Canis lupus familiaris: one gene and its partners. The protein of the gene in region 1 interacts with the protein of each later gene in a biochemical or structural test. Links are inferred from orthologs where the notes say so. Each region holds a gene or a part of one and is shown in the gene's direction. Other genes may lie near its edges.

Evidence for each region.
Region 2: the proteins of DNM2 (region 1) and SNX9 form a complex in vitro, tested with the Homo sapiens proteins (2 studies listed by BioGRID and IntAct, with this or other methods). The link is inferred for Canis lupus familiaris from reciprocal best matches to the Homo sapiens genes DNM2 and SNX9.
Region 3: the proteins of DNM2 (region 1) and SH3GL2 interact in a biophysical measurement, tested with the Homo sapiens proteins (2 studies listed by BioGRID and IntAct, with this or other methods). The link is inferred for Canis lupus familiaris from reciprocal best matches to the Homo sapiens genes DNM2 and SH3GL2.
Region 4: the proteins of DNM2 (region 1) and ITSN1 form a complex in vitro, tested with the Homo sapiens proteins (2 studies listed by BioGRID and IntAct, with this or other methods). The link is inferred for Canis lupus familiaris from reciprocal best matches to the Homo sapiens genes DNM2 and ITSN1.

The regions. Positions count from the first base shown.
Region 1 is NC_049241.1:50,828,623-50,836,295, reverse strand, and holds part of DNM2 (dynamin-2), read left to right. Parts: intron 1-1,741; coding exon 1,742-1,902; intron 1,903-5,447; coding exon 5,448-5,590; intron 5,591-7,673. UniProt on the Homo sapiens protein: Catalyzes the hydrolysis of GTP and utilizes this energy to mediate vesicle scission at plasma membrane during endocytosis and filament remodeling at many actin structures during organization of the actin cytoskeleton.
Region 2 is NC_049222.1:47,865,253-47,873,677, forward strand, and holds the start of SNX9 (sorting nexin-9), read left to right. Parts: upstream 1-4,084; 5' UTR 4,085-4,213; coding exon 4,214-4,216; intron 4,217-8,425. UniProt on the Homo sapiens protein: Involved in endocytosis and intracellular vesicle trafficking, both during interphase and at the end of mitosis. Required for efficient progress through mitosis and cytokinesis. Required for normal formation of the cleavage furrow at the end of mitosis.
Region 3 is NC_049232.1:37,821,475-37,829,147, forward strand, and holds the end of SH3GL2 (endophilin-A1), read left to right. Parts: intron 1-1,627; coding exon 1,628-1,731; intron 1,732-3,306; coding exon 3,307-3,437; intron 3,438-5,480; coding exon 5,481-5,680; 3' UTR 5,681-7,135; downstream 7,136-7,673. UniProt on the Homo sapiens protein: Implicated in synaptic vesicle endocytosis. May recruit other proteins to membranes with high curvature. Required for BDNF-dependent dendrite outgrowth.
Region 4 is NC_049252.1:28,827,447-28,835,673, forward strand, and holds the start of ITSN1 (intersectin-1), read left to right. Parts: upstream 1-4,001; 5' UTR 4,002-4,234; intron 4,235-8,227. UniProt on the Homo sapiens protein: Adapter protein that provides a link between the endocytic membrane traffic and the actin assembly machinery. Acts as a guanine nucleotide exchange factor (GEF) for CDC42, and thereby stimulates actin nucleation mediated by WASL and the ARP2/3 complex.

The DNA.
Region 1 (7,673 bases):
CCCTCCTCTGCCTTCCTGTCTGTTTCCAAGAAAGTCAGCCCTTCCTCTGTACACCAGCTCCCGACTTGTGCCCTTGGGCCTCCCTCCCTCCATGTTCTCCTCTTGTCCTGTGGCTTTTGGACTCTCTCCAGCTGCATCCTTTTTCTTGACTTACAAAAGACTCAGAACTCCTAAACTTTTAGGACCCACAATCCCAGCCAGACCACGGTCTCTGCTCTCCGCTGTTGTCCTGCGTACTGTTGTATGGATGGCAGTGAGTTTTGGCCTTACCAGTGTGGGTTCACATCTGGGTTCTCGTGGAGCCGCACTCTGTGGCCTCACCTTGGTTGTTTCCCCTTATCTGCCAAATGGGCATAATGGCCAATATGGAGAGAATGAAAGGTCAGCAGTCCTGCACAAGAGTTGCAGAATAAATGGCTGGTAGGCACCACTCCCCTCCTCCCCAAGGGAACCCTTGATCGCCCCCCACTGAGAGAACTGGTAGAAATGCCTGTCTGCATCCCTTTGGGAGTTTTGCCACCTCTCCCGAATCCATCTCCGACTTGCATCATGTCAACAGCGAGGAAGAACAACTATTTATTGCCATGGGTTGGCCAGTCGGCTGAGTTCTTGGTGTCCGTGACACCTCACATACCTGGACTGCTGGGCGCCTTGCATCCACACTCAGGAACCTGCGACTCTTCTGGCTTTTTTTCTTTTTCTTTTCTTTTTTTTTTTTTTTTTTTTTCAAGTAGGCTCCATGTCCAGTATGGAGCCCAACACAGGGCTTAAACGCACAACCCTGAGAGCAAGACCTGAGCTGAGATCAAGAGCTGGACACTCAACCAACTGAGCCACCCAGGTGCCCCTGTACTGACTTTTTGAACACCATCCCCTTTCTCTTCTCTTCCAATCGTTTCATATCCAAATATGGCAGATCTTTTTTTACACTAGCATTTTTATCTTAAATATTATTTTCTAGATTAAAGAACTCAAGAGTGGTACTTACAGCCATTTGTGAAAGAGGTTGCCCAGCCCCAGATGCAGGTCCCATTTCTCATGTAGCCATAGCTACCATTTTCTTGGGTCTGATTCAGAAAATTTTTAACCCAAATATAGTCATCTCTAGAAAGCACCCATGTTGTCTTTAAGTACTTCCAGTGTCACAGTGTATGTGTAGATCCATGAACCCTGGAGGATTACTTTGGGCAGGCAGCCAACTTTGTTTCTTTGCCCACCGTGGCCATTGAGTGACTGAGCTTCCCTCTTGTTGGCTCCAAAGCATTAGCCATCATTTGCTACCTGTCCGTCGTGTGTCGTTTAGACTTGTTCTGTTCTATTCCATTCATCTCTCCGGACATACAGGCCCCAATGTATCCAACCCTTTCGAACGTAACAGCTTAAGAACAGGTTTTTAATACCTGGCAAGATGAGCTGGTCCCTCTTGCCCTTCTTTTTTGAGATGATTTTCTTGTCTCTAAAGCTCAGTTTGTGGGTTTTGTCTTCTCCAGAGCTTTCCTCTGCCCCCCCACCTCCCACTGGGTCTCACACCCCTCCTTTCTCCAAACACTTATGTTACTTTTCAGGAGCACACCGTGCATTTATATTTTCTGCCTTTCCAAGGAACGGGTTTGGCTTGTGGCCTGGTCTGTGAGTGATTCCTGGGACAGGGTCCGTGTCTGTGCCTGCCTGGGCCACAGTGGCCGTCTGTGCATTTCGGCTCACCTGGCACTGCCCCTGCCCTGACCCTCTCTCCCCGCAGGCTACATTGGCGTGGTGAACCGCAGCCAGAAGGACATCGAGGGCAAGAAGGACATCCGTGCGGCCCTGGCGGCCGAGAGGAAGTTCTTCCTCTCCCACCCAGCCTACCGGCACATGGCCGACCGCATGGGCACCCCGCACCTGCAGAAGACCCTGAATCAGGTACGGCCAGGGTTTTGTGCAGGTGCGGCCCACCACAATACTGGCCTTGGTCTAGAGCCGGCACATGTTTCAGCAAAATGGGTTCAGTCCACACTGGATTCAGGGCCTGGTGAAGGGTGGGTGTTCATAGAGTCGCTAGCAGGGCTTTTATTACATTGCCGTTATTGTTGCTATTATTTCAATTATAATTAAATACTTGGAATTATCTAATCAACGTACCCAGAAGTTTTCATGCAGTTCCTGATATCGGTGACCTGGGTGATAACTGCCTGGCCTGCACTAAAGCAGGGTGGCCAGGAGGACCGGACAGGACCTCGGTAGGAGAGCTGTGGGGCCTGACCTCTGGGGGTCCAAAGCCCAGCTCAGCCTCTGAGCCTTTGTCCCCTGTGTATCATCTGGGAACTGTCACCATCCCTGCCCCCTAGGGCTGTGGTATCCACCAAGTACCCAGTCCACCTGCCGTGTGAAGCACAGCAGGCATCCAGTGGCAGCCACTGCACTGTAAGCATTGTTTTCCTACTATTCTTTTTTTTTTTTTTTTAAGATTTTATTTATTTATCTGACAGATCACAAGCAAGGGAAGCAGCAGAGGGAGAGGGAGAAGCAGGCTTCCCTCACTGAGCAGGGAGCCTGACACAGGGCTCGATCCCAGGACCCTGGGACCACTACCTGAACCAAAGGCAGACGCTCAACCACTGAGCCACTCAGGCGCTCCTTTACAGGGAATAAATTCACAGGGTTCATAAACAACGAGCCTGCAATGAGGCGCCCCCATCTGCCCCCCTTCCACCTGCAGGGCACTGTTATTCGCCTTGTCTGCATTTTCTGTCCATAGAAGCAAAAAGGACCTTCGAGAATCACAGTTCTCCCTTTCTTACCATAAATGATGACATAGTCATGGATGCCACACACACACACACACACACACACACACACACCAGGTCAGCACCATCTCTTGGAGCACTGGGCATATAGAAAGGAACCCTTCCTCATTCTTTTCTGTGGCTGTGTAATAGTTTCTGAACACATGAGTTGCAGGCTGTCCAGCCAGTCTCTTTAATTTTTTTTTTTTTTCATTTATTTATGATAGTCACACAGAGAGAGAGAGAGGCAGAGACATAGGCAGAGGGAGAAGCAGGCTCCATGCACCGGGAGCCTGATGTGGGATTCGATCCCGGGTCTCCAGGATCGCGCCCTGGGCCAAAGGCAGGCGCTAAACCGCTGCGCCACCCAGGGATCCCAGCCAGGCTCTTTAGAGAGTGACCGAGATGGTTTCTCATCTTCCTGGTCTGTAAAGGTTGCTGTTAATGTTAATAACATCATTTTGCTCATGTGGGGATTTCTCTGGAGAGTCAAATCCCTGATGGTGGCAGTTATGTAGCCACACTGTAACAGGCAGTGTCTGTCCTTAAGGCCGGTCCTGTTTTGTCCATCTGAGTTGCAAGATGTTCCCTCTGGATACTTTATGGCAGCTTCCTGGAAGGTGGAGGGCTTCAGAGGGAGAGTGGATGTCCTTCCTTTAGGCAGTCCATGGGGGCACAGTGGCAACGGGAGAGCAGAGCTCCATCCTTGGGGAAGGCGTATTTCTAAAAAATTTTTTTTAAGATTTTATTTATTTATTCATGAGAGACACAGAGAGAGACAGAGACACATGCAGAGGGAGAAGCAGGCTCCATGCAGGGAGCCTGATGCGGGACTCGATCCCGGGACTCCAGGATCACGCCCTGGGCCAAAGGCAGGCGCTAAACCGCTGAGCCACCCAGGGATCCCTGGAAGACGTATTTCTAATGTGGGAGTACAGACTCGAAATGGGTCCCCAGATAAATTCACAATCAAGCGTTAGGTAGTGGGGGAGGGGGGCAACCAGGGAAAGCTGGTGCAGAGCAGGGAGGCAGAGAAGGCAGCTGAGGGGAGCAAAGAGGACAGTAAGTGTCCAGTGGGAGGAAGCGGTTGGCCTGGGTGGACGGAGAGGAAGGGAAGTAAAACTGCCCTGCAGGTGGCATGGGCCTCCTCTGAGGGCTGGCAAGCACGCAAGGGGCCTAGCTGGCTTTTCCACGGGCCTGGCTCTGCCTCATGGCACTTCCTAGAGCTGTGCCCACCCTCCACCCCACATAATGAGGTGCTCTAAGTGCTCTAGGATGCTGTTGGATGCTGGAGTGAAGGGCTGCAGAGCATGTAGCCTCCACGTCCCCTTAAAAGCCTGTAGCTCCCACAGAGGGGTCTGTGGGCCACCCACTGGGATGAGGTCAGATTCATATAAGAGTGTGGCGAGCTGGAGTGTGAGGCTCCCTTACACCTTTTTTCTAGCTTGATGGTTACTTTATAAATTCTCTGTTGCAGGAGAGATGGCAGCAAGTGCTCCTTTTCACTCTTAGAGTATTAGCTGCATTTATAAGCTTCTGTTTTGTTCCCTCTGTCCCTCCTTCTCTCTCTGTTATATAGTAAAAGATAAAGTCGTACAGTCCAAATATAGTGAATATTCCAATTCCTCCCATCTGGTGGTGGATCCCTTCTCTAGAGGTGGCCAGAGTCACTGCAACTGGGCTTCCTTGTAGAGATACTCAGGGCCTGGAGAGGCCACTGTATCTGTATCATGCTCCCTCACTGCCTTCCTCTCCCTCCTCCCCATTTCCTCCCTCTGCCTTCTCCCCATCCTTCTCCCTCCTCCCCATCCTCCCTCCTCCCCACCTCCCTCCTCCTAATCTTTCTCCCTGTCCCCTTCCCTTTATCTTGCCTTCCCTTTCTTCTTTCCCTGCCTTAACAGCAGTATATTTACTATTCTCTCTCACTTTTTCTCTCACCAGCTATCCTGAGACTTATTCTCTAACATTTTCTGCAGTGCTGCTTCCTTTTACAGTTTGTGAATAATGAACGAATCCACCTGACTCCACAGCTAGAGAGGAGGGGGGTGGCCACAGAGAGCGGTCCCCTTCCCATTCACCTGCTCCGTTCTGGCCTCCTCCTGCATTTGTTTCCTGTGGAGCTTCTCTCTCTCTTTGTGCAACTAAAAATAGCATTCTTACTTTCTCCCAGTCTTTCACAGAAGGGAGCAAATGCTATGTACGTTCCTTTCATTGGGGAGCTGATTCTGTCTTAGTCTATAGGGTCTGTCTCCATGTCTCTACATCTGCCTGTTGTTCCGTGGCCCATGTGGACCGTCCCCTGCTGGCCAGTCCGTCAGTGCATCGGTCCTTCGGTGGCCTCCTGGGTGTCTCGCCAGAGCACTTGTGGGAGGCTGTTTTGAGTCAGCATATGTGTCGTGTGTACCCTGTGTCACGGACGCCCTGGTTGTCCACCCTACGAAAGCACAGTGGGCCGCTCACGGCATCTTGCTGCTGTGGGCAGCACATGCCAGCTCTCCTTGCCCCACGCACTAGTGGGACTCCAGCTGGATATTTCTCTTGCTTTCTATTTGAGACTGGGGGCAGTGCTGGGCTCAGGGGGGAGCATCTCAGCATCAGCCCTTTGCAGGTGCAACAGGTTAGCAGCCCCTTTGCAGCATCTCGCCTGCTAACCTCTGCTCTCTGGCCTCTCTCCTCCTGCAGCAACTGACCAACCACATCAGGGAGTCCCTGCCAGCCTTGCGGAGCAAGCTGCAGAGCCAGCTGCTGTCCCTCGAGAAGGAGGTGGAGGAGTACAAGAACTTCCGGCCCGATGACCCCACCCGCAAAACCAAAGCCCTGTTGCAGTATGTGTTCCCCTGAAAGCCCAACCCAGCTCTCCAGAGCCTCTGCCCAGCCACAGGGTCCCAGGTCCAGGCTGGGTGGCAATCCTCATTTGTCTCTCTGTTCACTTAGCCTAACATTTGTGGAGAGCCTCCTGTGTGCCAGGTCTGTCCTGAGCGCTGGGGTCCCCACAGTGAATGGAGCAGACAGCCAGCCCTGCCGTATGTGCTTAGAAAGGGGAAGGGGGAGGGATGGGACAGAAAATAAGCAAATAAGAAAACATGTAAAAAAAAAAAAAAAAAGAAAGAAAGAAAGAAAGAAAACATGTAGTGCATTAATTTTTTAAATTTTTTATTTATTTATGATAGTCACAGAGAGAGAGAGAGAGAGAGAGGCAGAGACGCAGGCAGAGAGAGAAGCAGGCTCCATGCACCGGGAGCCCGATGTGGGATTCGATCCTGGGTCTCCAGGATCGCGCCCTGGGCCAAAGGCAGGTGCCAAACCGCTGCGCCACCCAGGGATCCCCATGTAGTGCATTAAATGGCAAAATATTAACGTGGGGAAGGGGCTAGGGTGCTGGCATGAGCCTGAGGGGTGCCATTTAAAATAGAGTGGTCAAGAAGGCTGCCCTGAGACAGTGAGTCAGGCAAAGACCTGAAGAGGTCAAGGATAGGGCCCAGCCAGTGCAAAAGCCCTGAGGCAGGACTGCCCTACAGTGTTGGAGGAGGCTCTATGACAGAATGAGTGAGGGACAGAGTGGAGGAGGGGAGGGCAGGGAGGGGACAGAACCGATCATTCAGGTGTTTGTGGGCCACAGGGAGAAATTAGGCTTTTGCTCTGAGTAAGATGGGAGCCATGGAGAGTTCTGAGCAGAGGAGGGATGGCCTGATGGAGGAATCACAGGTGCCCTTTGGTGGCTGTGGAGAGGCCAGACATGGGGAACAGGAGTGGGAGCTTAGCCCTGTGTCAGTCAGCTCTTTCTGCTCTCTCTTGGAATTCTCCCCCTGAGTTGGTGCTCACTGTCCCAATTCAGAGCTCTGGGGCATTCATCACAGCTGTGCTGCTATGAGGTAGGGAATATGTGTCCCCACGATCCCAGGTTCTCTCTCGAGATTTTTTTTGTACTGCCTTTGTACTCCTGGTTTCTGGACTGCAAGGAACCCTGGGCACTTGGCTAGGGTGGGATCCAGAAACTCAGCTATTAAGGTAGACGGTGCTACACATGTGGCTTGTCCCCTGGACACACCAGAAGAACACCACCTGCAATGCCTGTCATAACCCTGCTTTCCCCCTCCCCGCGCACCCCCCGCTATGCAGTACTGCACGGTAGAGGGTACAGGGGTGAGAATGCTTTTATGCTCAAACTTAATTAGTGCTGTTTACTTTTTTTTGTTTTTAAGATTTATTTATTTATCCGGGATCCCTGGGTGGCGCAGCGGTTTGGCGCCTGCCTTTGGCCCAGGGCGCGATCCTGGAGACCCGGGATCAAATCCCACGTCAGGCTCCCGGTGCATGGAGCCTGCTTCTCTCTCTGCCTCTCTCTCTCTCTCTCTCTCTGTGTGTGTGTGTGTGACTATCATGAATAAATTAAAAAAAAAAAAAAGATTTATTTATTTATTCATGAGAGACAGAGACACAGGCAGAGGGAGAAGTAGGCTCCATGCAGGGAGCCTGATGTGGGACTGGATCCCAGGACCCCAGGATCACACCCTGGGCCAAAGGCAGGCACTAAACCGCTGAGTCACCCAGGGATCCCCTGCTGTTTACTTCTGTGGGCAAATTGGTTCTTGGGATCTGAGACATTCTGCACCTGCCCTCCCACCGGGTGTTCAGGGAGAAGAACCCTGTTCACTGGCAGCTAAACCCAGCTGCCCCGGCATCTTGTGGGCATCAGCCATGTGTGCCTATGCGAGCTGGACATCCCTGCTAGCGCACTGGGCTTCGTGCTGCTGGCCGAGTAGGGGCAGATCCCTTGATTGCAGCAGCCCCCTTTCAGGGCAGGCTGCACACACAATCTGGGGAGATGAAGGATTTAGAAGTAGGGGCAGAAATACGGATACAGTTAAGGCAGACTGTTGAAGAGGCTAAGGAAGCAACTAGAAATGC
Region 2 (8,425 bases), on another chromosome or scaffold:
AGAGACAGTCTCTCACCATCGAGGCATTTAGACTACTGACATTTAAAGTGATTATTGATTCGATTTGGCTCAGGTGTAACCTCCTGCTCTTTCTTCATTTGCTGCACCTGTCTTTGGTTTAAGTTTTTTCTTTTTCTTTTATTTAGATTTTTGATAGTATTCCTTTTCACTTTTATCACTGGCATATTAGCTATTTATTCATATATGTTTCTTTTTCTCATTTTTTTTCTTTCTTCCCGATTGCTTTCAGGATCACAGTATGCACCTGTGCCTTAACACACTCTGACTCTGCCCCCTGGGGGGGGGGGGGTCCCGTCCAGATCTCCCTCCTGTTCTTTGTACTGTCTGTCTGTCTGGTATGTCTGCTTTCTTGGTATTATAAACCCCACAATACACTGCTGCCGTTCTTGGTTTAAAAGCCAGTCAGCTTCAGGAGTGTCTGGGTGGCTCAGTCAGTTAAGCATCCAGCTCTTGGTTTCATGGGTCATGGGGTCATGGGATTGAGCTGCTTGAGGCTCTGCACTCAGCAGGAGTCTGAGGATTCCCCCCCCCCGCCCCCCCCCCCTCCCCGACTCGCTGCCTCTCTTTCTCAAATGAATAAATAAATCTTAAAACAAAAAAAAAGTCAGCACACCTGGGTGGCTCAGCAGTTGAGCATCTGCCTTCGGCTCAGGGCGTGATCCCAGGATCTGGGATCAAGTCTCACATCAGGCTCTCTGCAAGGAGCCTGCTTCTCCCTCTGCCTATGTCTCTGCCTCTCTCTCTCTGTGTCTCTCATGAATAAATAAACAAAATATTTAAAAATAATAATAATAAAATAAAAGTCATCTTTTAAAAATCATTTTCTTTTAGGGAAAATAAACAATGAGAATTTTTTATATGACATTTGTTTATGGTCTGTGTGTGTGTATTCAGGTTTCCGTTCTGTGTCATTCTCCTTTGATGAAAGAGCTTCCCTTAATATTTTTCGTAGTGTCAGTTTGTTGGTTGCTCTTGGCTTTTGTTTGGCTGAAAATGTCTTTATTTTACCAATAATCTCTGAAGGATATTTTGCTGTGTACAGAATCCTAGGTTGATGGTCTTTGTTACTTTTTAGCACTTGGATGTTGACTCCTGTTGTTTCTGGTCTTCAGTTGCTGTTTCTTTGTATGTCATGTATCTCTTTTTTTCCCCCTGTGGTTTGCTTTCAGGACTTTTCTCTATGGCTGGTGTTCAGCGACTTGATTATGACGTCTCTTTGTGTATTTGTTTTGTGTGTGTGTGGTTTTTTAGTGTGTGTATGTGGGGTGTTATTCTAAGGGTTCTTGAATTGGTGGGTTTCATCAGGTTGGAAAATTCTTGCCATGACTACTTCAGAAATTTCTGTACTACCTCCCTGCCCCTCTGGGATTCCAACACACCTGTGTTAGACAAAGGCCCTGCCCCTGTGTCAGCCTCTTTTCTTTCTGTTGCTGTTTCTTTAGGTTCACTGATCCTTTCTCCTGAAGTGTCTGATTTTCCATTGAGCCCATCTGGTAAACTTTTTAATTTCAGAAATTGCATTTTACAGCTCTGGTCATTCCATTGGAATCTTTTTTTTATATAACATCCATTTTTCTCATCATCATCATATGTTCCTTTAAGTCCTTGAACATATTTATAGTAGCTGTTCTAAAGTGTCTGCCAATTTTATTATGTCTGTCATTTCCTGGTGGTTTGTAGTGATGGATGTTTTTGTCCTGGGTCACATTTTTCTCTTTCTTGGCTTGTCTATTAATTTTTTTTTTATTAATTTTTTTATTGGATAGTGGACATTGTGTTGGCATGTTGCTGAGTGTCTGGATTTTGTGTTCTCCCTTTAAAGGTTGTTAAGGTGTCTTTGGTGGGCACTTAAATTACTTGTGAATCAGTCCAGTTTTTTCAAGACTTATTCTAAGTTTTGAGGGGGCAAGAGGAGTGTCCACAGTAATCTTATCCTAGGGTGCTTTTAGCCCAACCCCAGCCCTGTTGGGGTTGCTACCATGAATGCTTTGGATGTATTCAGTGAAGCTTCTCCACTCTGGCTTGTCACAACTCCAGCCCTGCCTGACCTCAGCATTTTCTGAGCTCCCCTGTAATTGTTGTCTGCTTTGTCTTAAAGAGTTTTACCCTATTGTGTGCATCTTAGTATCCATCAGCAGGCTCAAGGAGACCTTGGTGCAGATTTCTGGAGCTTTTTCTTTGGGTAGCTGCTTTCTGAGAGTCTGTCCTCTGTTGCTGAGCCTCCTGGAGTTCTAGGCTCACTGTCTCTTCACCTTAGCAGGACCTGTGCTTTCTGCGTGGGGCTCTCTGCTTGGATTCTTCTCTTAGTGGTTGGTTCTGAAGGTGCCTCCAGGCAGAAGGTTGGGGCCATCCTGGGGTTCACTTCATCTGCTTCCCTTCTCTTGGAGTTCACTGTCCTGTTCTGCCCTTTTGCTCAAGATCTGGAAACGGTTGTTTCACGTGTTTTGTCCAGTATTTTTTTTTTTATTTTTTATTTTTGCTGTATGTGGTAAGAGGGAAAATCTAGTACCAGTTCCTCCACTGTGGCCTTCTACTATGATTCTGATCTTGTTATTTTAACTACTGAAATTTGGTGTGTGACTTAATGTACTAGTCTTTATCTTCTCTGTTTTATTTGGTCTGTACTATAGCCTCTTTAATTCCACTTTTAATAGTTTAATCCTTCCAAGGCCCTCAGTGGATTCAGGTTATACCAAGACAATGATACTGGAGTTCTAGGGCACACATTCATTTTTGTCATCCTGCACATACTTGGTGTTTCACAGTTTATCTGCAAGGTCGCCAGATAACAGTGGACTGCATGATGGCTCAGATCCTCTTTCCTATACCTTTCCCCAGTGCACAAATGAGCTCTGGGAATCTTTGTATTTAAGAAATACAGATTTAGGGGAAATTTCAGTTCACGTGAGGAACTTAAGGCACTGAATGTAATACAATATTTTGACAGATTCCTTTGTGATGACTATTTCTCTTAACTTTCATGAGATCATGTATTTTCCCCCCCCAAGTGGGAGTGTTGGAGTTCTCAGTACAAAGTAATCAGTGTAGTAAAGACTAAGTAGTACTTGCCCACCATGATTATTAGCACTAACTGAAAGGGGCTAATGGCTGAAACAAGAATTTATCTTACAGGACAGTTTAATCTGAACAAAGTTTTCACTGTCATGGGGAAAATAAATATTTCAAGGTACTTTGTGCCATTTTAGAAACTATGCTGAGTTTGTATTAAAGAGCTAGATGAAATGTTGAAAGATTTTAACACGGTCCTTTTTTGTTTGTGGCTTTGAAGTGCTAAAAATAAGGTATTGTCATTCTGTATTTCTGAAGTCATAGTATGTTTCAGGTGCCCTTTTTTCAGTGGTTGCAATATGTTTGGGATGAGTTTATTTGTACTTTCTCCCAAAATATCCCCTTGAGATTTTGGGTGAAACTGCAGTATATAGACTGACATCTTTATGGTTATCCCTTTGTTCTCAGGAATGTGATATGATTTATTGATGTGCCTTTCTTCACTAAGGTTCATCATGCCCATGGTTATCTCTTGGGCTTTGTGGTTTGGTTTTGTTGCTATTGGGAATGTCCTCCCAATTGTATTTTTTTTTATCAAGTTATTATTTACAGATCAACTTTTGATTTTTGCCAGTTTATCTTAGACTTGGTTTTCTTATTGAATTTTCATTATCCTATTATTTTTACAAAAGATTGGGGTTGAGGGACTCCCTGCAGATTATCCTCCACTCTGCTGTCATTTCCCACCTGCACACAATACTACATATACACAGGGGTGGGGGGCAGGGGATCGTAGACTCTGCTGGGAGGTGGGGCTGGTTCTCAGGAGACCTGGTGAAATAACAGATTACAGAAACACCTTCTGAGGGAATAAGTAACCCAGTACTCAGTTTTTTGTCTTGAACCCCAAGGCTAGTTCAGACCTCTTGGTAGGCTGGAAAGAGGACAGTTATGCTACAACTTTTAGCCCAACACGGAATGTATATATAATGTTCAAGTGACCCAGAGGTCGTGATAACTGACATTTACTGGGCCCTTTGTGCCAGTCACTGTTCTAAGCATTTCGCATTAATGACTTCATTTATCACTTGTGTCACAAGGCACATGCTGTTATCCTTATCTTATTCTGGAGGAATTTGAGACAGTCTTGAAGGAATTTGGCCAAGTTTAGAAAGCTGTTGAAATGGTAAAGTAGAGAGTTGACCCTGCGTGGTCTGGCTCCAAAGTCAGCTCATCGTCACCATGTTGACAACGATTACATTTCCTTTCCCTTGTGTGTGTGTGTGTGTGTGTGTGTGTGTGTGTGTGTGTGTTGGGGAGGTGGGGGTGAAAACCATTATCAACACCCAGTGCTGGGTTGGCAGGGGGGCAGGGGTGGTGGTGGCAGGCAGACCTTGTTAATAGAGTATGTAAGTTTTCAACCGTTGTCTTTAGAATTTGGGGTACTGTTTGCTTTTCAACTTTCTGCCCCCTTTTAGTTACATGTGTCCTTTTATAATCAGGAAAAAACAATAAAAGTATTTTAATTTAGGGTGGGGGTAAAGTTACCTTCCTAACCACAGCTAAGTTGTCTTGGGCTTTGCCTTAGAAGTTGCAAAGTGGGTTAGTAACCTTGCAGCTGTGTTAGAGAACAAGGTAGATGTGCAGATAGCAACAATCCTAAGATTAAATAAAACATGAAGCGTAGAAGAGCATAGGTACCGTGGTGTTTCTAATTGGTTCTGTGTGTGCAAACATGTGTGGCAAATGCATGATGTTTGAAGGCTACTTTCAACTCTGTTAGAGTTTTGTGCCCTTTGCAAGGGGGCGGGGGGGGGGGGAGAGAACATTTTTAAACTTTTCCTTCTCTAAACATAATTGTGTTGCTTTTGTTGTTGTAAAATGTATTACATATATATTTTTGTGCAATGAAAGTGACAGTACTCAGAATGAGAGCTCCAGAAAGATGTAGCCTTTAGTACAGATTCTGTTGGCCTCCCAGTCCTCTTGCACTTTGGAGCATTTTGTGTTTTGTTACAACCAAGGAAGCATTCCCCAATAGATTGTGGTATTTTCAACAGGTTCTGAGCTTCCTGGGTGGAGGTACAAAACCATGATTTCAATTTTTAATTTTGTTGACCAGGGGTACATTTATATTAGTTAAAACAACAACACTAAAATGGTGCAAAGGGGATGATTCTGGAAATTCTTCTCTTATCTGTCCCCTCCCCCAGCCAGCTGGCTTCTCTCCTTGGGGCTATGTTACTGGTTTTTTTTACTGTCCTTACAGAGATATTCTATGTACATACAAGCAGAGGCATTTCCCCCCTTTTCTGCACAAAAGGTATACTTTGCTTTATTTTCTTAACGCATTCATTAGAGATAATTGCACTTCTGAAAAATGAGCAAACCCTCATTCTTTTTTGCTGGAGCATGGTGCTCTGCTTCCTGCGGACACTCTATTTTGTACCAGTCCCTACAAAACAGTGCTGCAGTGAATACCCTTTGATGCGCGTCACTTTGCAAACATGTGAGTATTTCTAGGGGATGAATTCCTAGAAGTGGAATTTCTGAGTAAGAGAGGATGTGTGTGTAATTCTGACAGACATTACCAGAATTGCCTCTCACTTCATCTGCACTATAGGAATAACCTATTTCCCTGAACCTACGTCTTCATCAACATGATGTTATGAGTTTCATTTTTGTTTCCTTGCTATGCTGATAGGTGAAAAAATATTTGTTTAGTTTTAGAAGTTATGTTTTACAATTTTTAGAACCATCTTTTTTTTTCCCCCTTTAACTGATTTGTAGTTAACTCTGTAGAGTAGGGGAACTAACCTTTAGTCTGTGATATGAATTGCAAGTGTTTTTTTTACTCATTTGTCATTTATTTTTATCTTATTTATATTGGCTTTTGCCAGGCAAAGCAGGTATGTTTTATTTGGGTGAAGAGAAATTTCACTCTCCCTCCCTTTTAAGAATATTAAGATTCTGTTTCACATTTGAAGTCCTCTTCTACTGCAGGATTATTTTTTTTAATTTTCCTAAGATTTCCTTTGGTACCTTTTATAGTTTCCCAAAAAGCCTTTTCTCTTATGGGGAATGTCAAACATTTCCAAAACAATAGTATAACGAAGCCTAAATGCCCATTACCCAGCTTCAACAACCGTTGACTCATTTGGTCCAGACCCCATCCCATTCCTCTGCTCTTGCATTATTTCTGAAGAAATGCAATTCTTCATCAGTAAATATTTTTGTGTATGTTTCTAAATATGGGTAGTCCTTTAAAAATATAACCACAGGGGTGCCTGGGTGGCATAGTCAGTTGAGCCTCAGACTCTTGGTTTCAGGTGGGGTGGTGATCTCAGGGTCGTGAGATTGAGTCCTGCATCTGGCTCCTGCTGAGAGAGGAGTCTGCTCAGGTTTCTTTCCTTCTGTCCACTGCCCCCCTCCCCAACCCTGTGCCTGTGTGCTTGCGCTAGCTCTCTCTCTCTCTCATCAGTAAACCTTAAAGAGATGATTTATTAAAAATAAATAAATAAAATTATAACCTCAATACCATTTTGATACCTAAAAATTGAATACTTTTAAGTATCACATAACTCTTAAATATTCAGATTTTCAGTTTTCATATTATAACCTTTTTTGCATTCTGTTGGACTCAGAATCTAAATAAAGTCGACGTATATTGCAGTTGGGATCAATTTCCTAAATCTCCTAGTTTATGGGTTCTCCTATTCTACTCCCTCCCCCAACAGGCTTGTTTCTGTCTTTGAGATTTGTTAGAGAAAATGGATTCTATAATTTACTAGATCTGGGCTTTTCTTTTCTTTTCTTTTCTTTCTTTTTTTTTCTTTCTTTTCTTTCTTTCTTTCTTTTTCTTTCTTTCTTTTCCTTCTTTTCCTTTTCCTTCTTTTCCTTTTTCTTCTTTTTCTTCCTTTTCTCCTTTTCTTTTCTTTTCTTTTCTTTCTTTTCTTTTCTTTTCTTTTCTTTTCTTTCTTTTCTTCTCATGAGATAGACATAGAGAGTGGAAGAGACTTAGGCAGAGGGAGAAGCAGGCTCCTCACAGGGAGCCTGATGCAGGACTCGATCCCAAGACCCCAGGATCATGACCTGAGCTGAAGGCAGACTCAACTGCTGAGCCACCCAGGTGTCCCACATCTGGGTTTTCTTATCACATACTCATTGCATAATTTAATATATTCCTTTATCTTTCCTATAAATTGGTATGAGGATCTAAAGTGGCCATAAGATGCAATCTCTTTTATCTTTTCAAGTATTTTTCGTAATTGGCATTGCATTCCGTCAGAAGGCAAATGGTTTCTGGCTTTTGGAGGTACTATGCTTAGATGCATTAAATTATTAGGGATTGAAAATGATGTTCTAGTTCTATTATTCCTTTTTCATCTATTTCATTTATAAACTGTCTTCAAGGTTCATCCACATTTATGCATGTTGCAGATTTTCTTTTTTTTAAAGCTGAATAATACTCTATCATATATGTATGTATATACCACATTTTCCTTACCCATTCATCTGTCAAAGGACATTTAGGTTGTTTCCATACCTTGTCTATTATGAATAATGCTACAGTAAGTATGGGACTGCCAGTATCTCTTGAGATCCAGATTTCAGTTCTTTTGGATTAATACTCAGAATTATTGGGTCATATGGTAGTTCTATTTTTTAAATATTTTAAGAAAACCCATATTGATCTCCATAGTGATTGCACCATTTTGTATTACCTAGAATATTTTTATAAACAGACACTTATCTATTACTTGATTAGTTAGTGCTACAATTTGTAAAGGAGGGGCAGGATAAATGCCTGCTTTGTTTTACCTATATTTACTGGTTTTCAAAATGCATTGGTTCCCTAGTATCCTATAATAGTGACCAATTATTTTTATCATTTTTAACTCACAGATTTAAATAAATTTGATGTTTCAGGCTACTGTAATCCTTGTCCTTATTGACGCTTATATTGTCCCTTCTTTGGACAGCAAGGTCCTCTGCAAGTTGGAGCCTGTGTCTTTTTGATAGGGTCATAGCAGGTTTTGTTAGTGTCTTAATATCTGAAGGAAAAGATTCCCTGGCCCATCTTTGTATACTGTGTGTGGGTTTTGTTCTTGTGTGTTTGTTGTTTTTTTTTCTTTGAAACCTGAAATCAGCCTTTTTTTAGTAAATCTGATGCCATTTGATGAAAAATGCGATTTGACGATTGTAATCTGGGTACTAGCTCTGTGATCCCTCCCTCCCTTACCCCTTCCTTTCCTTCCTTCCTTCTTCCTTCCCTCCCTCTCTACCTTCCTGCTTTCCTTCTTTTCATGTAAATCTTTGTTCCAATCTGGAATTTATATTGGTGTAAGGCATGAGGTGGTGATTCACTTTGTTTTTTTTTCCCCTAGAGATCTGC
Region 3 (7,673 bases), on another chromosome or scaffold:
GTGAGAACTTTGGTAGATAGCTATTTCTTTAAAATAAAATTAAATTCTAAAGTAGATCAAGAAGTGGTATGTTTTTTTCCCCTGTGTTTCCATGGTTTGATTTAATTAAATATTTCTCTACTAATGATCTTAAAGAATTACCAATAGTCAGAAGATGAAGAATGTTTCTGGTGATCCATATAAAAGTTCAGTTGCTTAAAGTACTTTGTCAAAATATAGGTCAGACTGATTTCAGATTATAAAAAAATATCACCTAAAATACATTTAGAATTGAGGGTTCAGTGTAGGTTAAGGTGTTCTATATTTTGAAGTAAAGGTGATACTTTCTTTCAAAAACTAATTTCAACTGAGATTGATAATTATAGCATAAGTACTGTATTGGGCATAGATAATGTAGTTTAAAAGCTGCTTGTATATTTCCAGTACATTATTATTAATAATAATTTTAGGGAAGACAGAGGGGCAGAGGGAGAAAGAAAGAGAAAGAGAAACTTAAGCAGGCTCCATGCCCAGTGTGGAGTCCAGCATGAGGCTCGATCTCATGACCCCGAGTTTATGACCTGAGCCAAAATCAAGAGTCTGATGCTTAACTGACTGAGCCACCCAGGCACCCCCTCTAGTGTGCTAAATTATCATTTGTGGCTTTAGAAGTTATATTCTTTTGAGTTATTTCAGCATCATAGTCATGAGAACTTCTGACCACTCATGTAATAAAGTCTGCTAACTGGTTTTGAAGTTCTTGCTCAGTCACACCTCTGGCCCTATCAGTTGATGACCACCTTCTTCCAAGGTGTTTACAGAGCCTTTATGTGCTTATCACTTAACTGCTTTGCACTGACAGGGAAGATCTGTTGGATGTATCTGGACTTTCCCACCACCTAGAGACTATAGGTTTGTGTTTAGGTAGAACAACTGGTATCCCACCTACCTACTGAAGAGGAATGCTATAGGCACCAGAGATGACCTGAATCACAGTGCTCCTTGCCTACAAATAGGGCCCCATTCCACCCCCAAAACTCATGGGACAGCATTGCCTTTGCCGACGTGGAGGACAATATTCAGTGAGATAACAACCTAAGACACAAAATGAAGAGTAACTAAGGATACCTAGAAGACTAGAACTGAAATGAACCCAGTATGTCACTTGACCGAACCCCTTTACATTACAGATGAGGCTGAGTGGGGACAAAAGATTTTCCATGCTATCAAACTGCCTCCATGCTGCCTGAAGTGAAAAATCAATATTCACTTCTTTATTAACAACACTAATATATTGACAGCATGGAAAGCATAGGGAGCAAAGACTCCTTTGGTCAGTATCCCTTTTTTCCTATAAGAAATCAATAAAATTAGCCAAATCCTACCTGGAAATTTGTAGCCAAGAATGAGATTGTTCAGTGAGAGGTGTGTGATCTTTAGAAGGATTCCTGATAATGTGGCTTCTCCTCATGGTACTGGCATTTTCAAGCATATGGATGCTTTTTATCCTTAACTGGTGTGGAATCTACAAAATCAAGCTCTGAGCTGTGCATCAGGGGAAGCTCTGTCATATGTGTTGGGGCAGTAGTAGTTGCCTAAGGATGGTGACCTGGTAACTAAGGTGTGATTCCCCCCTATTGGCCTGCAGATCGAACAGGTGAGCCAACTGTCTGCGCTTGTCCAAGCCCAGCTGGAGTACCACAAGCAGGCCGTCCAGATCCTGCAGCAAGTCACCGTCAGACTGGAAGAAAGGTATTTCAGTTCCTGTATTTTATATTCCTATTTTCTTCCTCTGGAATTATGGGTAAAGAAACAGAAATAACAGCAAATTTGAAGAAAAACTTCTGCCAAAATTCCTGCTGACCCTACATTGGCACCTTGTGGATTGTTTGTTTTGATGTTATTGTGTCTTGTGCTTTGTTTTACATTGTTCCATGGAATTTATTCTTGTGTTTATGAGAGTTCAGTACTTGGATTGTGTGTTGGCTGCCACAGATTGGGAAACTAGGATGCTACCAAGGATAATGCATGTGATTTACTGAGCAGATATTCTCTGTAGGCACTGAAGGCTTACCATCATCAGTCATCTAACAGTCCTATAAACTAAGTATGATTAGCCTTACCTACAGGTGGAAAGGCCCAGCGAGATAAAGTAACTAGCCTCAGGTCACACAGTGGTACAACTGGGGTTTGCCAGGCAAGCATAGCCTATTTGAAAGCCAGTTATCTTTTCACACCATTTCCCTGAATGGTGAGCAGGTCCTCCAGCATCAGAGAGACAGCTTTCCTATGCCTGTTCCTCCTCCTCAGAAGCACCCTGCAGCCGGGCATAGATGTGTTCCTTGTGATTAGGCCTCCCCATAGTTGCAGGCCACTGCCTGACACCTGTAGGCAGAGGCCCTACACTGTAGTACATGTCACTTTGTGCATCTTTGGTCGATGCACCCTTGTGGGAATGTGTGTCCCACTCTGAAGCTTCTAGAAAGATTTAAACCATGCACTTCAACATACTAAAGAGATATTATTATTTGCCTTTATGACATCTGTTGAGCAAAAAAGGCCATTTTCTCTTTTTCCTCTGAAACATGTTAAAAGTCCGTATCATTCTGTAATCACCATATTTTAACCTCTCCCCATCCTTGCAAATCTGCTGGACACTCTACTTCATGAACATGAGACTGTGAATGGTAGTTGGAGTGCGTGGAGTACATTAGTTGGCCATACCTTTCCACTTTCCTCCTATCTTCCCTCATTTCTTTCCCACTTCTTGCATCTTAAACTGCTCACTGTTCTCAGGACACATGATATTTCCTCCTTCCAGACCTTCTCAAGCTCTTAAACTCTTTCTTCTGGAAAGAACTGTTCATCTGGAAATGACTCTAAGCTGTCTTTTCTCCCTCTCCATAGGCCTTTCTGTGGGCAGGTAGACTCCTCCCCACTCCCCATCTCCATCCCCATGTCCCCGTAGCATTCTGTGTGTCTCCATAACAACACTCACCACGGTTTATGGTTTACGATCCTCAGTTTACCTTCTGTCTCCCTTCCAACTATAAGCTGCTTGAGGGCAAGAATGGTGTCGTATGCGTCTTCATGTTCAAGAGTGCACATTTGCAAAGTGAGCTCTGAATAAATAAGGAAGAGGTGAGGGATGGAGACAGGATGAAGAGGGCAAGGATCTGACCACAGAGGGACATCACAGAAATGTAGAGACATACACAGAGAAGGTGGCTTTGCATTAGGAGCTTTCCTGGATGTTAATTGCTTTTCTGTTTGCTTCTTAATTGGCTCCATGCTCCTATTCCCCCCTTCCTTGTCTTTTTAACACAGAATAAGACAAGCTTCATCTCAACCTAGAAGGGAATATCAGCCTAAACCGCGAATGAGCCTGGAGTTTACAACTGGAGACAGTACTCAGCCCAATGGGGGCCTCTCCCACACGGGCACACCCAAACCTGCAGGTAAGTTGCTGAGACCTGCAGACCCCATTACACAGGCTGTGGGCACATGCCGTCGATACTTTTCCAGAAATTCTAGGTGCAGCCTGGCTGGCTGCACAAGAAACTATACAGTGATACATTTCTTACAGGATGGTTTTGTCATGTAGAAGCTCTTTTAAAGCACTCCATCCTTATTTTCCCATTGATCATTTCTTTGCCTCCTTTTCCCCCTTCTCTCCTCTAGAAATGTCCCTTTTTCTCTCACCATTATCAGCACCCATTAACCTTCTAAGTAACACAATTGATTTTGACCTCTCTTTGTGGTTTTAATTTACCATAGGTGTCAGGGGTGTCATCTTTCTTTTCTGTTTCCCCTGTGTTCCAGCCTGCTTGAGGGTGAATGCCCTGGCAGGGTGTGCCCACATGCACTCACATATAACCCATAGACAGCAACTCCAGGAACATATCAAACTGGATTTCTTAAGTCACTGGAGCCTATGGGTGACTGTACGTATAGACAATATATTTTGAATATCAACATCAGCTAGCTTTCCCTCCTTCCTCCACCTTCAACCAGTTCACTGTACCCTGGCAACTGAGGTTGGTATAGTAAAAGCTAAAATTTATTTTCTATCAATATCAATAATATTGATGTATACCCAATAATATGTTTTTTTAGTTGACACCATTGCTCTCTACCCCGTATAATACAGATTAAGGAAAAGCTTGTGCTTGAGACATTTTCAACCTTAACAATTTGTTTGGTTGAAGAAGTGGAAACTGTCTTACACTGGGCATGGACTTCAAAGAAATAAGAGTGTCTCCTATTTTCCCTGTGACCCACTGCTTGATGTTTGTAGTAGGAAATGTTTTATGAAATGCTCTCTGGAGACCAGGAAATAAAATCGTGAGCTCTGTGGTGGTAGTTGGCACTCTCCACCCTTTGTGTTCACCTAACTAGTTGCTTGAAGCTGCCCAGGGTAGGGTATAATCAGCAGTGGCTCTTACAAGTTAGCTGGCTCCGAGGACTAATCATGTAAATTGGGATTAGTTTGCTTCTCCCTATTCAGAAACCAACCACATATTTTACTCTTCTTTTGGAGACTTGGTCATTTTCTGCTTTCTTAAAGTAAAAAAAGAAAATAGATTTTAATTTAAAGTCATCAGACATGGGGGCAATATGTACTTGTCTGAGTTTACATGCCCATGTGGATGCATGCTTTATTAAATATAGATGGTCATTTAAAATAGATCACTTTTAAGATACAATTCCATTCCTCATTATCTTACTGAAGGCAGAGCGTGTTATTTTTGTGTGCCAGAACTCCCATGTACTCATCCTTATATATGCAACAGTTTACAAAGAGTAAGTTATATAATTTTTACGTAATTTCACTTGATAGCCACAATAGTATTACGGCGTAGATCCTATTAGTTATAATGCTAGGCAAAGAAACTTGAAAGGGAAGTACCTTGTATAAAGTCACCCAGAGTATGAACTCGAACCCAGTGTCTTATATTGTTTTGTTTTCACCACATTACAGCAGTTTTCCAGAGGCTGGAGTCTTTACTTTTGAAAAATGAGGACGCACAGTTATTCTGAGGTTGCTAATAAGCATTGTCCATGTAATGAACCTGACTCTTTCACATGTACAGAGATTTTAAAATGCTAACATTGAAAGCATTCTGACCATGTTCTAGTAACCTAAATTCCATCAAAATTCCTTAAGTCACTGGGTCTCCCATCTCTGGACATTGTCAGGAAGGCAAACCTTGGTGGACTGTGTTGCATGTGTCACCAGCATAGATGAGGCCGTTATTCATACTGGAAATGGAAGCACATATCCAGCCACTTCCAGGAATCTGAGAAAACTTCCAAAGACTCGTGAAGAGCAGATGCTATGCAGTGGACTGGGGACTAGCCTCAAGAGGAAACTTCAGCAGGAAGAGGAGTGAGGGAGGAAGCAAGGAGGATGGCGGGCTGGAAAGGTTAAGCAGGTGGTAGACTTGTGAGTTAAATGCCCCTTGTCTTTCTGTATTCTTCTCTCCTGCTTTCACTTCCAGGTGCCCCAATGGATCAGCCCTGCTGCCGAGCTCTGTACGACTTTGAACCTGAAAATGAAGGGGAGTTGGGTTTTAAAGAGGGTGATATCATCACACTCACTAACCAAATTGATGAGAACTGGTATGAGGGAATGCTTCATGGCCAGTCAGGCTTCTTCCCCATCAACTATGTGGAGATTCTGGTTGCCCTGCCCCATTAGGATGTTAGGCTGGCAGGCTTACCTCCTCTTGACCCAGATAGTTAAGTTTAACCACTGCTTTGGTAATGCTGCTTACAACACATCCCAAATGCAGGCCGCAGTGGTCCAAGTCATCAAGCCCCACCGAGTTATCTTTGGTTGACTTGTGTGATCCCACAAGAGTCATGGTGATGGGTGGTATCTTCTTAGGCTGGCGGGCATGGCATGTGCTTTTTAAACACCATCTGAGGCCAGCCAGTAGTCACTGAACTGTTTACACGGTTCTCAGGAGACTGTGGCTTCTTAGAATATGACCATGAGCCACATCACAGTAAAACCATGCTACTGAAGATATTATCTATCACCCAGGGGCCATCTCAAGGTCTCAGGTTCTCCATTTCAATAGGAGAAAGGTCCTGCTTTCCCATAGTCCCCTCCCAAATATGCAAGTCACAGAATTTTGGAAGAAAGCCTCCCTCACCAGCAACTTGTCTTCTGGTCTGAGTTGGTCCCTTGATACTATCGGTAGGAAAATGTTGAATGTGAATTGAAAATCTTTTCTGGAAAAAAGTCACCTTTCTTCCTCCCACTTATGCCTTTTCCTAAGGGACAGCCAGTTTTCTTCCCTCCCTGCTAATAAAGCCAGAGGGGGACTTCCGCTATATTTCTAAGTAAGACAGTTAGCAGTCAGCATATGGTAGGAGGGGCTGAAGAGAAGAGATTCTCCATTATGAGGAAATGGGAAAACATCTGGTTTCCAAGCTTGCATTTCCTGCTGCAGAGAATTCACATATGTAGTTAGGATATTTCTGAAGGTACAGGGAAGTGGGAACAAATACCTTCACTTCAGATTTATTTATGAATTACATGCTTCATGAGTCCATTTGGCACAGAGACACAAGGATAAAAACACAAGAAACCATTTTTCCACTAGTTCATAGACCAAGTTAACAGTAACTGTCTTTCCTTTCCACTTCCACCTTGTGTTCTTCGAACATCATTTATGCAGATTCTGCCCTCAATGAGGACCAAATAAAGATAATTTTTGTGCTTAGCAGTTTAAGATGTATGGCTGCATATGCAGAAGTTTTTCCCAACTCAGTCATTATTACTTTTCTTTCTGTCCTTTTATTCCATCTTCATGTTGTATGTACAGTGCTATGTGTAAGCTTATGAGTGGTTTTCTATTTTGGGGGTTGTCTTTCTTTTTCTTTTCTTTTTCTTTTTCTTTTCTTTTTCTTTTTCTTCTTTTTCTTTTTCTTTCTTTTTTTTGTATCAGTTCTGAAGTCTCATTAGGTATGCAGAGTTCTATTTATCTAGCTGTACAGATTCCTTCCGAGGTTTCATGTGCTGCTTCGGACGTGCCACCTGCGGTAGTGGGTCATGTGGAGTGAAAGGCAAATCTTACCGCTTAATGTATAAACCTCTTACCACAGGAAGCATCGCCGTTTCCAATAAATATTGCTGAAGACAGAACCAAAGGCTCTGGACCTTTATTTTGCGTCAGTTTTTTGGTGATCTCATTTCAGTCTCTGTTGCCTTCTGATGCAGCCAAACCAGACCTCGTTCCTACCTCAGATGTCCCTCTTTGTCACCAAGGGAAGTTTTGTTAGCAAGAAGGCAACTAGCCTGGACACCAGTAACTCCTTGGTAATCCTAGGAAGAGGGTGATTTGGGAGACAGGATAAAAGAGGTGGGAATGGAAGTCTTCTAGAAGTTACATGAGATATAATCAGTGGCGATATCAAAAGGATATAATGTTCAGAGGCATAAATAAAATATGCCATTTCAAACAGTCTTTTGTTATTTTTCATGATTAAAGAGAAAGAAATAGGGAAATATAGATTGGCCAAAGCTAGCATTCTTTTCTCTGTGTGTGGCGAGTGGAGAGGTGGGAGTGGGGATCCATGCCTATAGAATATGTTATTTCCTGAGCTTCTGAGAAAATAAACATGTTTTTTATGTATTGGGTACCCTTTGTGTTCTTCCATTCTGAGGCTAACAGTCCAGATGT
Region 4 (8,227 bases), on another chromosome or scaffold:
CTACACTTTCAGACTAAAGGTGTTCTGAGGGGATCCCTGGGTGGCTCAGCAGTTGAAGGTCGGCTTTTGGCTCAGGTCGTGATCCTGGGGTCTTAGGATCGAGTTCTGCATCAGGCTTCCCGCAGAGAGCCTGCTTCTCCCTCTGCCTATGTCACTGCCTCTCTCTCTGTGTCTCTCATGAATAAATAAATAAAATCTTAAAAAAAAACAAGAACAACTTCTTGCTTCAGAAGCAAAATAGGAATTGTAATTTTGATTAAATATTTACTAGTAAATCCACAATGAAGAGAAAATAATTCGCAAGATGTGTATTTCTTACATTGTATAAAAATAGAAAAATTATTTTGCAAAATATATTTTAGCATGTGTAGATATGTAGATGTGTGTATTTTTGCTCTTTTAAAAATGTATTTTATTTATTAATTTGAGAGAAAGTGCAAGCGAGCAAGCATGAGCAGGGGTAGAGGGAGAGGTATGCTCCCCACTAAGCAGGGAGCCCAATGTGGGGCTTGATCCCAGGACCCAGGGATTATGACTTGAGCTGAAGGCAGATGCTTAACTGACTGAGCCACCTAGGCACCCCTAGTTTTGCTCTTCTAATCATAAAACTCACCTTAGCTTAGCATAGTACTGTTCGGGGGGGCCTAGAAAAATCATGTTGTCTTTGAAATATTCAATGTAAAGTTCACAGGACCATTATTTTTAATAATAATAATAATAATAATAATAATAATAATAATAATGTAATCAGTCCCTCATTGGGCTCTGTGCTTTAAGAAGCACGGAGTGTGCTTGTCCCTCTCCCTCAGTCCTTCCTCACCTACTCATTCTTTCAAATAAATAAAATATTTTAAAACTATTTAAAAAATGTTTATTCTCCCAATTCATGAGCATAGAATGCTTTTCCACAAACAAAGCTAAAAAACACTGTGACTCCATGGCGAAATATTTTAACAACTTCCAAGCTTTCTCATCCTTTTTCTTCACAGAGGTACACCAATGAATCAAGACACATTACTGCTCAGCATATAGTACAGGGAAAGTGATCTTTTATTATTTATAATACAGCATGGAGATGGCTCAGTTGGTAGAGCATATGACTTTTTTTTTTTTTTAAGACTTCATTTATTTACTTTAGAGCTAGCTAGGGAGAGAGCCCAAGCAGGGGGTGAAGCAAGTGGAGTGGGACAAGCAGACTCTGTACTGAGCACAGAGGCCCAAGCGGGTCTCAATCCCACTTCTCCAAGACCACCACCTCAGCCAAAATCAAAAGTCAGATGCTCAAACAACTGAGCCATCAAGGTGCTCCTAGAGCATGTGGCTCTTGATTGTTGGGTCCTGAATTCAAGCCCCATGTTGGCCTAGAGCTTACTTAAAAAACAAAGAAAAAAAAATATGGCATGGAGTGTTTGTAAAACTACCAAAATATGTCACCCCAAGTGGTAGGTAAATTAACCTTGTATGGGGGAACCCTCTCTGTTTCAACTCTGAACATTTCATCTGCTATAAACTAGAGCAGAGACATCAATGAAGTGAAATTATTGATCAAAAAACAATAATCATACACTGTTGTGGTTGACAGGATTTAGAAGTCAAAACTGACCTGAGTTTGAATTCTGGTTCTTCTATTTACTGGCCAAATGGCTTTAGGCTATTCAATTTTAATTGTCCAGGCCTTAGGTTTCACCTCTACAAAGCATGGTAGTTACCTCCAACGGTTGTTTGACTTATTTTTTACTTTTTTAAGATTTTATTTATTTATTCATGAGAGACACAGAGAGAGAGGCAGAGACACTGGCAGAGGGAGAAGCAGGCTCCATGCAGGGACTCCAACGTGGGACTCAATCCTGGGTTTCCAGGATCACACCCTGGGCTGAAGGCGGCGCTAAACCGCTGAGCCACCCGGGCTGCCCCCAACAGTTGTTTTAAAGATTAAACAACACAAGCAAAGCATTCAGTACAACACCTGGCACAAAATAAGCATTCAATACGTGCTGGCTATTTTCACTATTATTTCTGCAATTTGGGCAGAGAACCTCTCTAAAATAGTTCCCAGGCCCATCTCACAGAGCAGCAAAGGGTTTGGTGACATGCAACTCTTTGAGCTTTAACACCTTTTAATTTCTGCAGGGGGCACCTCTATCATCTGGACCTGCCGGGTCCAATAACAGCGGCCACTAGTCCACAGGTGGCTAAAGAACATGTGAATTGTGTCTAGTCAGAACTGAGATGTGGTGTCAAGGTAAAACACACGTTAGATTTCAAAGATGATTAAAAAAAAAAAAAAAAAAAAAAGAATTGCCACGCCTGGCTGGCTCCATCCATAGAGCAGGTGCATCTAAATCCTGGAGTTGCTGAGCTCAAGCTCCACGTCGGGGTACAGCTTATTCTTTTTTAATTAATAAACAGACGAATGTATAATATCTCAATTTAAAAATATTTGATTATGGGTAGAAATGATAAATTTTGGATATATTGGGTTAAACGAAACATTGTGAAAATTAGCTTCACGTGCTTCTTTTCACTTTTTTTTTTAATGTGGCTACCAGAAAATTTAAAATTAAGTGCCTCGCTTTGTATTGAGCAGAGCTGAGTTGAACACCCCGCTACTCAGACCTTGGACGAGCAGCCTGGGGAGCTGGTGGGAAATGCAGAGTCTCAGGCCCCGCCCGGACCTGCAGAATCAGCATCTGCGCTCGTACATGATTCTGAGGCGATTCTCACGCGTTGCTCCAGTTTTCCGCTGTTCATCTTAAGAGGGCATATCTGGCCGCATAATCACGTAAATGCAAATACCTTTGCTTCACTGAATAAGCAAAGTGAAGCAGGAAAAAAAGCGGTGGCAGAGGAGTATGAGAGAATGAAACACTAACTTAAATTATAGGAATAAAAAGAAAGCAGGGGTGGGTGTGCAAAAAATATCCAACCTGGGAGATTCAGGGGAAGGGAACTTCCCGACTCTGGCTTCTATAAATGTAAAGAGAGATGCAAATGGAGATAAAACCCACAATCAAAACCTGTAAGGACCAGGAAATGGTCAAGTCTTTCCCGCCCCTCGGCGGCCTCAGCTAAGCTAGGCCTGGGCCCAAGAGGGTCTGGGGTTGGGGTGCAACGCGACCCACCACTCACCCCAGGGCTGCACGGTTCCGCGAGGCGTCCAAAGTCCAAGGCCCCGCTTCCAAAGACACAGAATCCAGGTCCGGGGACTCACCTGCCTCCGAGGCGCCCCAACGGCCTGCGTCTTCGCCACCGCCACCTTGGAGTCCTACTGCAGAGGGCCCGCCCCCGCTGGCCCAGGCGCTGCTCCCATTGGTCAGGCCTCTCGTCACTTCTGGACCGGAGGCTGTGGAGAACGCCATAGCAACCGAACGCAGAACTACATCTCCCAGAATGCCCCGCCCGGACGAGACGCCCCGGGGCTACCAATAAAAGGGCGAAGTTGTAGTCTCACGGATGGGTTCCGTTTTATGCAAATTTCTATTAAAGACCACACCCTTCCTCATTCCAACCGTTTGCCCTACCGCCTTCCTTGGGCAGTGACCCGCCTCTTTTTCCGCCTCCACGTTGCTCTCTCCCTTAAAACCTTTTGTAATTGACTTAGGTGGATACAGCTTAATAAGTGCCTCGCAGGACAACGGACGGATGCACCCAAACCGGTGCAGCTCCAGAAGGCGGGTCAGGGAAATCCCAGTCCAGAAGGTTACGCCTTCTGGGAAGGGGGCGGGGAGAAGTGACAAGCGCCCGCCCACCAACCCCCTTTGCGCGCTCGCTGATTGGTTCACGTGGCTGTCACTCCGTGCTCTTCCATTTTTTTTTTAGTTGCCCCCGCCTCGTTCCCGCGGTGGGCGGGGGCAGCGGCAGGGGGCGGTGAGGAGGCGCGAGCGCCTTCTTGCGATTGGCGAGTGCCGGCTCCCACCCATCCGTGGGCGGAGATGGTGGCCGGGACGGGGGCGGGAGAGGCGGCGGAGGGAGATGAGGAGATAGGTGGGAGCGAGGGAGCGAGGGAGGGAGCGAAGGAGGTAGAGAGGAGCGGAGGAGAGGGGAGGGAGCGCAGCTTGGTTGCTCCGTAGTACGGCGGCTCGCGAGGGAGAATCCCGAGCGGGCTCCGGGGCGCACGGGCGCACGGGCGGGCGGGGATGGTGTGCGGGGCTGCGGCTCCTGCGTCCCTCCCCGCGGCGAGTGAGCTGCACTGATTTGTCCCTGGGGCGGCAGCGCGGACCCGCCCGGAGATGAGGTGAGGAGCAGGCTGGACCGGGCGGCGGGGGCGGCGGCGGCGGGGGCGGGGGCGGGGGCGGGGGTCGGCGCGATGGCCGCCCGGGGCGCGCGTCCCTCGGGCCGCCCTGCAGCCTTCGCCCGGGAGGCGCGGCACCCGCCGCCCCTGCGCGTCGTCCTTCCCATCCTCCCGGGGGCGGCGGCGGGGCGGCCGGTGGGGCGGCCGGTGGCCGGCGCGGGGAGGCCGGGACGCCGCGGCGGGCCGAGCGGGTGGCGGCGGCTGCACGGGCTGCGGGCTGAACGCGCGTCCGCAGCCCCGGCCGGCCGAGCGGGGCGCCTCCGTCCGCGGGGGCGAGGGGGCGTCCGGGCCGAGCCTCCCGGGGACCCGGCGCCCGCGGGCCTCGAGCCCCCGGCTCATCCCCTCGTCTCCGTCGCGCGCCGGTGAAGGGCAGTCAATGCCGCTCGGCCCCGAGGCGCCCCGCCGGGGGTCCCCCTCCGCCGCGAGCGCGCGTCCCCGGGGTCCGCCGCTCCTCCCGGCCGCCGCCTCGCGGTGCGGACCCCGCGGGGCCACCGCTGCGGTCCCTGCTCGCCCCAACGACGACCTGGGACCGGGATCCGCAGGAAAAGGAACCCGGCCCATGGGGTGCACCTTCCTTGACTTCTCCGTCTGCCTCGGGATTAGAAAACAACTTCGCAGATAACATTCCCGACGGGCATCTTTTGTTGTGATTTCGGACTGGAGACGGGCTTTGCTTTTGAAGAAATAAATTCGCGTCTTTTCAGAATTAATTAATTAATTATTATTATTTTTTTGATTGCCCCGCTGAGTGGGAGGCGGTGGAGATTTCTGATAGCCCCTTAATATGAAAGTTTCCCTTAGAACTTTGTCATCATCACTGCTATTCTGAAGACAGCACCAGCCTGAAATTTTAAATATATGCGCACTCCGGACAGATGCCGTCTCTTTGTGCTTATCCCCGGGCATCCCGCTCTCGCCGTTTCCGTGGTCAAACGCGCAAATGATAGAAGCAAGCACAGTAAAAAAGGACAGATAATAAAAACAAATGCATCTGGGAAAAAAAAAATCTCAATTCCGTTGACGGAGAGAGGCAATGTCACTAATCCCTTTGAACGGATGAAGAACACACAGGCTCAGAGATCTCATGCATTAGGCAGTGGACAGGATCTGAGGTTAGGAACTGGGGCCAGGACCCAGCAGGCCAGCTGGTTCGCGAAGTGCCACTCTCAACCCCTAAAATGGGAGGGATGTATTTGCCTGGATACCTTTATTTTTAGCTGATGTAAGGTTGCAGAAGCTTAAATTTCTCTCTTCAAGGTTAGGATTTCTACCTGTTTATCTCTGCAAACAAAATGCTGGGTTTTTTCTTTAAAAGATTTTTTTTTTTCCCTTCTAGTTTACATGACACATTTATGTTGCACTCATGGTGTTTGTTTTATAACTAAAAATGTACGTCCTTGTAATATCCAGGGGAAATTTTTTTTTTTTTTTTTTTTTTTTTCTGTAGGAGGTTGGTAAAGAACCCAGGAACTTTTTTAGGTAATCTAAATTGGAAATGAAGGGACACTAATTTAGTGGTGGCATTAAAACTATTTAAAAAGCATTTCTGATAGAATTTTCTTTTAAATGGCGTTTCTTTATCTAAGAATGTGTTGAAGTTGCCGAGGCACATGGCACCTTCACAAAACTCTATGATTATTATTCTGCCTGAGTAGGAGAGGAAATGAACAAATTTTTGATGTACTTTGGAACCCTGTGGATTGTTCAGATACTAAGCATTGTGAAATAGGGCATAAAATGAGTAGTAGCAAGTTAGTTCCCTGAAATGTTTGTCCCTCTTAGCATTTTTTTTTTCAATTTACTAGAAATTTCCTTTTTCTTAATGCTTATCTCTTCTGTTGGTAGAACTCAAGTTCATCTTTTCAGCAAATGCCTAGTTTGAGGAAAATTCAAATATCCCATAAGATGTTAAGGGGGAGGTGCTGGTAAATTGCTCCATTCTTACTCATCTTTTTAATTTGCTAGATTTGTGAATGACACAGAATTAATTACGTGAGGGTTGGGTTTATGTTACTTGGTTCAGGTTTCACTGCCATAGCACTAGTCTCTTTGGAATGATCATTTTCTTCTGAATGGCTCCACTTACTGGTGGGTTTCTCAAAGTCTGGACCTCAGATCATTTAGATCAGCATTAAGTGAGGTTCTTGTTAAAAATACAGGTTTTTTTTTTTTTTTTTTTTTTTTGTCACCTTACTTCAGAATCCGATTCCTGGAGATGGGACCCTGGAATCCGATTTTTAAACAAGTTCTCCAGGAATTTCTCTTGGAATAGAAAAGTTGGAGAACAGCTGGCCCTGTGCTTTCCTTCTCCTAAGACCGTCCCCTGAAGTGGATAGCAGATTTTAAGTAGCAGACTAAGTTTTATACCTTAGGCTGCTAATAAAAAATGGACTACGGGGATCCCTGGGTGGCGCAGTGGTTTGGCGCCTGCCTTTGGCCCAGGGCACGATCCTGGAGACCCGGGATCGAATCCCACATCAGGCTCCCGGTGCATGGAGCCTGCTTCTCCCTCTGCCTGTGTCTCTGCCTCTCTCTCTCTCTGTGACTATCATAAATAAATAAAAATTAAAAAAAAAATTTTAAAAAATGGACTACGACTTTCAGATATATAATGCACCTAAAATATATGTTTCAGAAGAGCAGAGATTTTGGCTCATCATTCTATCTCCAGTGCCTAGAATAGTGCCTGGAGGAGCTCCATTAAATATTTATGAGTGGATAAGGTTGCAATGAGGCCACACTTTAAAACCTTTTCTTGTAAAATTAATATTATTACTTAGTCACGGATTTTATAAATTAGGAGCTACATGTACTGTGCCCAGTCATTTATGTAAGTTTGTTTGGCTCTGAAAAGGGAGAACCTTTCCCAAGAATAGAAGGCACAAGGTGATTAAGCTGAAAAGAAGGCTTCTATCAAAATATTGTTTAGAGACTAAAAACGTAAATTTAGGTCCCCATGTAGTGGTGGGTTACTATTTAACACTATCTCAAAATGCCACTGGTATGCTATGATAAACCCAACATACTGCTGTAAAAATTGGTTTACAGAAAATACAGAAAATTGGTATGTTTTCCAATTTCATTTTTCATCCTAATAAAGTATGACCTTCAGTCTTTCTTTTCAGAATCCAGTGTAGTACCCCATAAAGAACAGTTTCTGTTATATAGTTGAGGGTGCTGAATAGTTAGGAGTAAAATTTCTACAGGGTATTGGGTTTGACCACACACAATCTGTGACTTTGATCTGGCCCTTAACCTTTCAATGTCTCAGTTTTTTCAGCTGAATGGGAATAATAATAGTAGGTTAAGTTTAAGTACTTCAAATGTTTACATAAATTCTTGAGATATATTCATGTACTAAATGGTAATTATGATGATAAGGAGTTCGAGTATATAAAAATATATAAAACTCAAACTAATCCATTTAATTTTTGTACTGCTGCACTTGATGGTAGAAATCCATCTCTTGAAAAAAAGAAGTCTCTTGCTAATTTCTTGATACTAATTTTTAATTGGATAACTAACTTTTTAATTGGATATCTAATCTTTAATTGGATAACTAACCATTAAAAGTAATAAACCATCAAATATTGTGTAAATAGGTATTTTTCTAAATAAAGATAAATCTTGTCATCGCTTTTAGATTTGTTGTATATTTTAGAAGCAAATTGCTAATCAGTTCATTTCCCTTGTATTTTAAGGAATTGCGTCTTTATGGTAGAAAGAAATCGAAATAGCGAAAAGTAAAAACTTCAAAATACTTCTATATCCACTACCTCAGTACCTATTTCTTCAAACCCTCTTTTTTTGTGGGTGCATGTGGCTTTTTATATACAATTTTTGGTAACAAATATGGGCCCTGCTATACATGATTATTTTGTAACTTTGTTTGGCTTAACCTCTTATATCATGAATCTTTCCATGGCTATATCGTCA